2 linked regions of the Chlamydomonas reinhardtii genome follow. The protein of the gene in region 2 interacts with the protein of the main gene of each other region in a pairwise test. Links are inferred from orthologs where the notes say so. Each region holds a gene or a part of one and is shown on either strand. Other genes may lie near its edges. The genes, in order: CHLRE_17g734400v5 and CHLRE_03g177053v5.

Region 1 (4,398 bases), on a different chromosome or scaffold from region 2:
CGCCAAGTGCGCCCACATTCGTCAGCACCAGGCTCTCCGTAATGTGCATGAGTGACGCGGCGTGGGGCTCAGCGCCTCCCAAAGTGCTGCATCCGAAACCACCGACCGCCCCACCCAGCCTGGACGCCTCCGTCAGACCCCCCCCACGCTTGCCTCCTCGCTCTTTTGCATTTGGTTCGAAATAGTATCTACAATTCCCCCATCCCTCACACCCACCCAGCCGCCCCCTCACCTCCTTGAGCAGCTTGTTGCGCGTGGTGGCGTGTAGGTAGTTGTCCACGCGCTCCTCCTCCAGGCGCAGGCACTCCTCCGCCTTGAGCATGTAGTCGGGGCACGAGTCCTGGACGCGCCAGGGAGTGCGGAAGCGGCGCGGAGCGGCGGAGAGGATTTCAAATGCCCGACGTTGACAGCAAATGGCGTACCGTACGGGATGCAGCACACGTACAGCGGCGGGCGCAATCGCGAAAGCATGCCTGCCGGGCTTGTCCATCTCCGCCGCAGCGCTGACCCACATCGCAATCTTAAGCCGGGGCTCCTGCCGGCCCTAACTCGTCCGCCCCGCCCGCCGTTCCTGGACAAAAAACATGAGTCCAATCCGGTCGCCCACCCGCCCACCTGCTCAATCCACTGCGAGGCCTTGCGGCGATAGAACGCGGACGTCTCGGTGAGCAGGTACTCCTCAAAGTCCTTCTCGTAGCAGTCCATGTTGCTCATGCCTGTGTGCGTGTGAGGTTCGAGTATCAGAAGCGGTGGCTGAGGTCTGCCGCCCCCGCCCCCGCCCCAACCCCAACCCCTCTCCAACGTCACTTATGGCCCCTCTCCGCCAGCCGCTCCCCTCCCCGCATAGGGCCCGCTATCGTCATCCCACATACACCGGCTACTACGCCCGCAGTCATCTCTGGCGCCTGCTGCTCACCCAGCTCGATAAAGATGCCCAGGATGTTCTTGACCAGCGCGCGGTCCACCAGCTCGCCCTCGCGCTCCTTCTCCACCAGCAGCAGCACGCCGTCCTTGGTGCGCTTCTTGATCTCCACGTACACCAGGTCTGTGCTTGTATGGCGGAGCCGGGGGCACACAGGGTACACGCAGAGCAAGGGGCAGGGTGGACGGGGTGCCTCGCTGAGGAAGTAATGAGTTGGGCGGCTTCACGGCAGGCTGGCTGGCAAAGCTCAGCAACAGCACCCAACCCTGACTAGGCCGACCATGTGGGTGATGCGTTGAATTGCGGGTCCTGCGCATGGCTGGTCCCGTCCCGGCAGTCCGCCGGGCGCCACTGGATTCTGATACTTCTGGCCCATTGCTTCTTCTGCTCCCACCCCATCGCAGCTGCTGCCTCTTGCTGCCGCTGCCGATCACTGTCCAACCCCATTGCAGCCCCCTCACCCTTGAAGCACAGCAGGCCCACGTCCTTGAGCGGGTGCAGAGAGTGGCGCAGCACGTAGTACCTGGCAGTGAGGGGGCCCGGGCAAACGGCAGCGCATACAGACAGAACACGGTTGGCATCAAGCTACCGCATGTGGCTCAACAAGAAACATATAGATAACCGCCACGCGCTCCGGGTCCCAGTCCTCAACCGCACACGACTAGTCCAACCTACTGCTCTGCACAAACAAACACCCCATGCATCCCGGCCCCGCGCCAACCCACCAGCACCCTCTGTCCCTCACCGGTCCAGGTAGTTGAAGAAGCGCGACAGCCAGCGCACCATGAGCTTGTGGTTGCCCCAGCGCTGGTACAGCTCCTTAAGCAGCACCTCGTCGCGGTGCTCGCGCAGAGAGGGCAGCACCTGCGACGGCGGGGGGCGGTGAGTGGAGGTGGGGGGTTACAAGCTCGGATGCGCAAAGAGGAACATTTGGCACGACTTTGAGTGTTGCGGGTCGAATGATGCGGGTGGGGCATTCACGCTTCCAGGCGTACGGGCCGCAATGCGGGCGACGTAGGCTGAGTCGAGGGGGATAGCAGGATTGCGTCAGAAATGGAACAGCAGGCATAGCAGGTAAGAGGCTGCGCAAGGCGCGTGCTCAAACGGCATGGGATCGGGTGGCAACGTACAAAGCTGCAATGCTGTGTGTGGCCTGGGCTGTATGGGCGTGGGCGCAATGCGGGTTCAAGCGGGGTGCGCCAGAAGGCGCACCTTCTCGTTTATGTACTTGTTGAACGCGTCCCTGTACTTGCTGTACAGCTGCTCCGAATAGTCGTGCGGCGGCTTCTGGGTGCACATGTTGTAGATAGTCCTGAAGGCGAAGAAGGACGCAAGGCACCGAGAGGCGCGAGGGCAAGCGTGGGTCAGTCGCGGAAGGCACCGGCAGGGTGTGGCGCGGCCCCAACCATGCCCAGACCAACACAACTTACGTGTACAGGTGCATATACTGCTCCGCGTTAAATTGGTCCTCTGGCTCTCCCTCCAGCAAGCGGATGAGCTTCTGGATGCCTTTCTGCTTGGGCCAAGACGTGACCGAGGTGAGCCGGGAAATGCAGATGCAGATCCCGCCCAAGCTCCTCTGCTGCACATGCTAATGCCCCACCTCCATAAAGCTCCATCCTTCTGCCAGCTCGATAGGCTTGCGGTCCGCCATCTGTCAGCTGCGGCGCCAAGTCCGGGGCCCAGCCCGCTCGCCCTGGCGCCCCCGGGCTCGAGGCTGACGCAACTAAGAGCTCAAGAGAGGTTTCCGAAAGCGGACAGTCCGGGCCAGGGAGCGTCACGTTTGCCAAACGCCTTGGTCGCAAGGGTTCTCTGGTTTATGTCAAGCGGGTCTCTAAGGCGCTGCAAATATAGGTTGTCCTGACCAATCTACATTTAACTATCACTGTATACAGGCACACGCACATAACAAAGGCCCGCAGACCGCAGTCTGAACTCGCGTTCGCCCATTGCACAAGTCGAGCTCGTTCAAGGACCTTTCCAACTATTACATGTAAACCTTTCTACTATTTTTATTAAAGATGCCAATACTTTGGCTGGCTTACTGAAGGGAGACTGAAGCTGCGCAAGTGGCACCATGTTCAAGCGAAAACCAAAGCCTGCCCCTCCAAAGCCTCTTCCGCCAGCGCGAAATGTTCCTGCGGCTACACCACCGCGGCCGTCGCTGGCCCGAGCGCCCTCACGGCGATTGACCATCCATGAGACTTTGCAGCAAAGCCAGGGAGCGCTATTCCGCCTGCGGGGACTCAATCCTGGCGATCTCCAGGCGTTTCCGTTGCTGAACGAAATCCAGCGGCTGAGTGAGTCGGCGTTTGACTTCCCCGGATGGTCAGCGCTGTGCGCTGACCAGTAGTACTGTGCTTGGCCCGCGCCGTGCAGTCCAACACCTCAAGGAGGCAACCGCGGCCTTAGCTCCAGCCGACCGAGAGGCATGGTCGTAGTGAGTACATATACGCGCGTGCGCGTGCGTAGGCTGAGCTTGCGCGCACGGGTGCCATTGACCGTGGAGCGCCGTTCCAGCACGCGTGCTGCGTTGGCACCCGCTGCTCACAGCTTCGCGCCCCCGCGCATCCACCCCCTCCTCCCTCAGTCAAATCGCGGACCTGGATGAAGAGTTTCGGGAGCTTGCGGATGTGGTGGTGGCCAAAGCTGACGCGGCCAATCCAGCTCCAGGTGCGGTCCCCTAACTGGCCGCCAACCCCCGTGGCTGTGCCGTACGACCGCTGGCCACCGGCTTGACCGCTTGTACCAACTGACTATTATGTGCGGTTTGCAGAGCCGCGTGCACCGGCTGGCCGGAGTGTTGGGGGCCCTGGGCACAGCAACCACAGCCCCGCACCACAACCGCTGCTGCGGGGGCCTGCTCGCCCAGACCCCAGCATTGCCCCACCTGGCATGCGGCCCAGCCCCAGCGGCCGCGTGCAACAGGCCGTGGCGTTCTTCTCGCGCCATGGCCACGAAGGCCAGGCCGCGGGCCCACAGTCCCCCATGCCGCCTGCGGCCAGCTTGCACGCATTGCGACAGCAGCAGCAGCAGATGTACGCACAGCAACAACAACAGCATCCGCAGCAGTTCCATGCACAACAGCGGCAACACCCGCAGCAGCACCCGCAGCAGCTATACCCACAGCAGCAGCAGCAATCTCAGCAGGTCCCGGCAAGTCCCAGCGGGGCGTGGCAGCAGCCAGATTCGCAGCAGCAGCAGGGTGGCCCGCCTGTGGGGAGGGAGGAGCGGATCCTGCTGGCGCAAAGGCAGGCCGCACTGCTGGCGAAGCACCACGCCTTCCTGGAGCAGCAGCGGCAGGCACAGGCACAGGCGCAGCAGCGGGTGAGCACGCAGCACCAGCACAGCGGCAGCGGCCTGGAGAGCGATGGAGGCATGTCGCGGTCTGGGACTCCGGTAAGGGCGGGCTGTAGTTGTCGGGGCCGGGGTTGTAAGCCGCGGATTCGGCCTGCAACCTTATAACCTACCTGAAT
Region 2 (4,411 bases):
AGCCGCTCGCCACCGCCGCCGCCGCCGCCGCCACCACCACTGCCAGCTGCCGCCGCCGGCTCCCGGAACACGGCACTGGCCTTCCAGCCGTCCGTCACACCCTGTGGTGTGGCGTAGTGTGGTGTGCGGCCTTAAGGCATACCTTGGTGCTCCACCTGTGATTTCTTCCGTCCTCTGCCCGATCGCACCTGCCTTGGAAGGCTGCGGACAAAACCTCCCACAAAAACCCCACCTGCTCCCGCCCCCCACCACCTGCTCCCGCCCCCCCCAAGCCCCCAGCCCCCTAGTCCCCACCCGCCTTGCCCGTACGACCACGGGCCTTGGACACCTCCCACCTCCCCTCATCCCTCGCCCCCGCCCCCCTCACCCTTATGACCACGGGCACATTGGCGGCCAGGTAGCGGCGCACGAAGTCGTCATAGCTCAGGTCGGCGGCGTGGACGGTCGGCAGCCGCCGGTAGCCGCCACTGCTGGGGGCACAGCCGGGGCCGCCGGAGCCGCCGGGGCCTGGGCCGCAGCTGCCGCAGCCGCCGCCGGGGCTGCCGCTGCCGCGCCCGCTGGCGCCTGCGCTGTCACCATAGCTGCATGCTGCTGCTACTGCTACACCGGCTCCTGCTGCCACCCTTGCTGCTGCTGCTGCTGCTGCTGCCCCTGATGCTGCCCCTGATGCTGCTGCCCCAGCTACATCGCCGCCCGCCCCAGCATCAGCCGTTTCCGCTGCACAGGCTGTCTGCGGCCGGCCCTGGTGCGGCTGCTGCTGGGCCCGCCATGCCTCCGCCAGCACCTCCCGACCGAACAGCAGCGGGTCGGACTGGGGCGTGTGTGTTTGTGTTGGTCAGGGCAGCGCCGGCAGTAGCAGGGGGGTTATGGGGGAGGGAGGGGAGGGGAGTCGGGGACGCAGGGGGCAGGGCGGGGAGTGGGCCGGGACACATTAGGTGGGTGGGTGCGTAAGGGTCAAAGAGGGGCACCAGTGGCAGGCCGGGTAGCGCGCTGCATGGCGCCTTCAATATCCCAGGGGGTTGGATCTCACCCGCGGAATGGCGGCGGGTGGCGCCCGCAGCAGCTCCAGCGTCAGAGCGGGGCTGCGAGCAGCCGCATGAGGGATGGAGGAGGGTGGGGGGAGAGGGGGGGGGGGGGGCGGCCGTCAACGACGAGGCCTTTTGGGGCAAGCTTCTATACCCAGTGACCTATTGCTTTGCACGGAGACGGTAACTAGCTTGAGCTGAAGGGTCGTGCGCAGACGAATCGTCGTAGCGCACACCTTATTCGCGGGCTTGGCTCCATAGCTCTCTGTTGTTATGCATTGGATGTGATTTTCGTTTGTTTATCTGTATCGTCAAGCGAATAGCCCGTTCTTAACAGACGGGGGCTCCAATGCCGGCATTGTTGGTTGCATGGTGCAGGTTTTGCAGCACGCGTCTAGACTCGACCGCAAACCCGTCTTAATTGCACTCGCACAAACCATAACAACGCGACTGGCGGGAAGTGCACGTCACCCACCACATTGGGGCGGGATCTTGTGCCCAAACCAGAGCTCGTGACCCCGCGGGGGACTTCGTTACATCAGGACATTCGATCTGAGCTAATTACGCTAGCGGCGTGACAGCTTCACGCACGGCGTTCGGTCTTTCGGTCCGGTGGTCGGTCGTTTAGGGCGCAGCGGCAGCAAAGATGGCGAGCACAGCTATTGTCGTCATTTTGGAGAAGATAACGAGCAAGGACAAGGACTTTCGCTACATGGCGACGTCCGACCTGCTCCATGAGCTGCAGAAGGACACGTTCAAGGTGGACTCGGAGCAGGAGCGCAAGCTCTGCAACGTGATCCTCACGCAGCTGGAGGACCCCTCGGGCGATATCTCCAACCTGGCCGTGAGCTGGTGAGCAGCAGGCCGGCGTGGCTGCGTGAGAGCGGCCGAGCGCGGCCTCGGCCCGGGGGATCGTGCCATGCCAAACCTGGGACTTCCGCCAAGTTATCTCCGCCCAGTGGCCTCAGGCTGCTAGCAATCTGCAAGCAGTGTGGTCAGGCCTGCTGCAAGACCGGGGGCAGGGCCGCGGGTGCTGCTGATGGGGGATAGGTGTGAGCGTTGCACAGGGGTGCGACGCAGAGAGAGAGCTGGGCGGGGCACGGACTGGGATGGGGCAGAGCGATGGCACTAAAGCGGTGTGGGGCCCGGAGCACCGAAGCCAGTTCGAAGGGAGGTCGGGGCCGGGGCGGGGGCTCCTGGTTTAACACGCGGCCTCCCCGCACGCCGGCATGCACACCCACCTCACCCTGGCTGCCTGCAGACCAGACCAGTCCAGCATTACAGCCACAGCCCGGCCCCCCCGCCCACGCGCACACGCACACGCACACACAAACCGGCTTCGTGCCTCACGCCCCCCTCCACATCTCTTCCCCCCATCTCCCGCCCCTCCATCCCCCTCAGCCTGGGCCACCTGGCTCGCAAGGTGGCGGAGTCGCGGGCCGAGGACCTGGTGCGGCAGCTGTGCGACAAGGTGTGTGTGGGTGGACGGGGTGTGTGTGGAGGTGGGGTTGCAAAGACGGTACAGAGAAGCAAGGGGGGACAATGGGTGAGCGGGAGGTGGGAGGTGGGAGGTGGCAGGGCGCGGGCGGGGCGGCGGCGTCACGGGGGCGTGGTGTGCAGTCCCACCCCCCTAGCACCTGCATCACCAGTCCCACCACCACCATCCCCATAGCAACACCACCACCCCCATCCCCTACCACCTCACCACCGCCACCGCCATTGGGCAGGTGGCCGGCGGCGCGGCGGGCGGCGCGGGCGGCTCCGGCGCCGCCACCAGCGCCGCCGCCAGCAAGGCGCGCGACGCCCAGCGCGAGATCGCCTCCATCGGCCTCAAGGCGCTGCTGAAGGAGCTGGCCGCCTCCGCCGCGCCCGGCCTGGCCGCCTCCGCCGCCGCCATCATCGCCGGACGCATGTTGGACGGACTGCAGGCGCACAAGGTGGGCGTGCGTGTGGGGGGAGGGTTGGGGGACGGGGGTGGGGGAAGGGAGGGACAGCCGCAAAAAACGTGTGCTTTGCAGGGGGGTCCCAAGGGATCAACGCATTGTACCTGCTCTGTCTGTCCACAAGAGCTCTTTCCACCGCCCCTCTACACACACACGTCTCTCCACCCCCAACCCCCAACCCCAAAAACCCCAAACCCTCCAACCCGACCCCCCCCCCAATCCCCAAACCCTGCACCCCCAGGACGACGCGGACGTGACGGGCCATGTGCTGGACATCCTGGCGGAGCTCATCAGTCGCGGCGGCGGGCTGCTGCCGGCGGACATCCAGGGCCGCGTGCGGGACGCGCTGCTGGCGGCGCTGATGGGCGAGGGCCGACTGCTGCTGCGCAAGAAGGCGCTGCAGGGGCTGGGTGAGTGAGCGATTGGGGGAGGGGTTGCAAGGATTGGTACAGAGAAGTGTAGTGAAGTAGACCCCAGGGGGAGGGGGAGGGGATGAAAGGGGGGATGGGCGGGGGGCAGGGGATGAGGGGTGGGTGGGTGAAGGGGGGAAATGTAGCTACCAGCCCAAACAAAGTTGAACCCATGCAAGAGAGCGAGGAGGAGAGCGTGGCCTATGCTTTGACAACGGAGCGGCACTCGGCGCAGGGGAGGTAGCCGTTCTAGGAGCCCGTAAGCCCCTTCCCTCCCTCCCGCCCCCTCCCCTCCTCCACCCCTTCCCCCCCTCCTCCCCCTCCTCCCCCTCCCTCCTCCCCCTCCTCCCCCTCCTCCCCTCCTCCCCCCCTGCCTCCTGCCTCCCGCAGCCGCCCTGTCCGTGTACCTGACTGACGACGCGCTGGCGGGTGTGGTGGGGCCGCTGCTGGCGGCGCTGCAGCAGCAGCCGGGCGTCAAGGCCGACTTCGCGCGCACCTACGTGCAGGCTGTGGGGCAGGTCAGGTGAGGAGGGCGTGTGAGGAGGGGAGAGGGGGAGGGAGAGGGAGGCGGGTCAGGTGATGAGGGGGATGGGGATGGGAGAGGGAGAGGGAGAGGGGGAGAGTACGTGATGAATTAGACCTAGGACGCGGAGGCGTGTATTTGTGTGTTGTGCTACACGTGGTGGCATGGGGCCTGGCAGCTTCCTGGGGCCGGGGGGCGGGGGGTTGCAAAGCTGGTTGGACAAGCGGTACAGGATGCCCTGAAGACTGCAGACGAAGTCGGGGGGACACGTCACAGCCGCTAACGATCCACCGGCACCCTCACCACCCCAATCACCCCGCCAGCCGCGCTGTGGGCTACCGCTTCGGCCGCTACCTGTCTGTGGCGGTGCCGCTGGCGGTGCGCCACTGCGACCAGGCGGCGGAGGGAGACGACGAGCTGCGGGAGCACTGCCTGCAGGTGTGTGTGTGTGTGTGTGTGTGTGTGTGTGTGGGAATGTTTGTCAGGGGGTGTGTGCAGGGGGAGCGGGGT

The links.
Region 1: the proteins of CHLRE_03g177053v5 (region 2) and CHLRE_17g734400v5 interact in binary tests that used the Arabidopsis thaliana proteins (3 or more experiments, as listed by UniProt). The link is inferred for Chlamydomonas reinhardtii from reciprocal best matches to the Arabidopsis thaliana genes CAND1 and CUL1.

The regions. Positions count from the first base shown.
Region 1 is NC_057020.1:4,893,906-4,898,303, reverse strand, and holds the start of CHLRE_17g734400v5 (uncharacterized protein), read right to left. Parts: upstream 2,803-4,398; 5' UTR 2,577-2,802; coding exon 2,526-2,576; intron 2,436-2,525; coding exon 2,353-2,435; intron 2,235-2,352; coding exon 2,135-2,234; intron 1,787-2,134; coding exon 1,668-1,786; intron 1,446-1,667; coding exon 1,384-1,445; intron 1,046-1,383; coding exon 917-1,045; intron 717-916; coding exon 616-716; intron 341-615; coding exon 233-340; intron 1-232. Other genes in the region: CHLRE_17g734350v5 (uncharacterized protein), read left to right, coding at 3,000-3,222, 3,302-3,362, 3,513-3,595, 3,699-4,321.
Region 2 is NC_057006.1:4,596,351-4,600,761, forward strand, and holds the start of CHLRE_03g177053v5 (uncharacterized protein), read left to right. Parts: upstream 1-1,449; 5' UTR 1,450-1,671; coding exon 1,672-1,877; intron 1,878-2,426; coding exon 2,427-2,496; intron 2,497-2,752; coding exon 2,753-2,962; intron 2,963-3,209; coding exon 3,210-3,378; intron 3,379-3,768; coding exon 3,769-3,901; intron 3,902-4,224; coding exon 4,225-4,339; intron 4,340-4,411. Other genes in the region: CHLRE_03g177007v5 (uncharacterized protein), read right to left, coding at 1-101, 368-811, 1,031-1,082, 1,262-1,284. UniProt on the Arabidopsis thaliana protein: Key assembly factor of SCF (SKP1-CUL1-F-box protein) E3 ubiquitin ligase complexes that promotes the exchange of the substrate-recognition F-box subunit in SCF complexes, thereby playing a key role in the cellular repertoire of SCF complexes.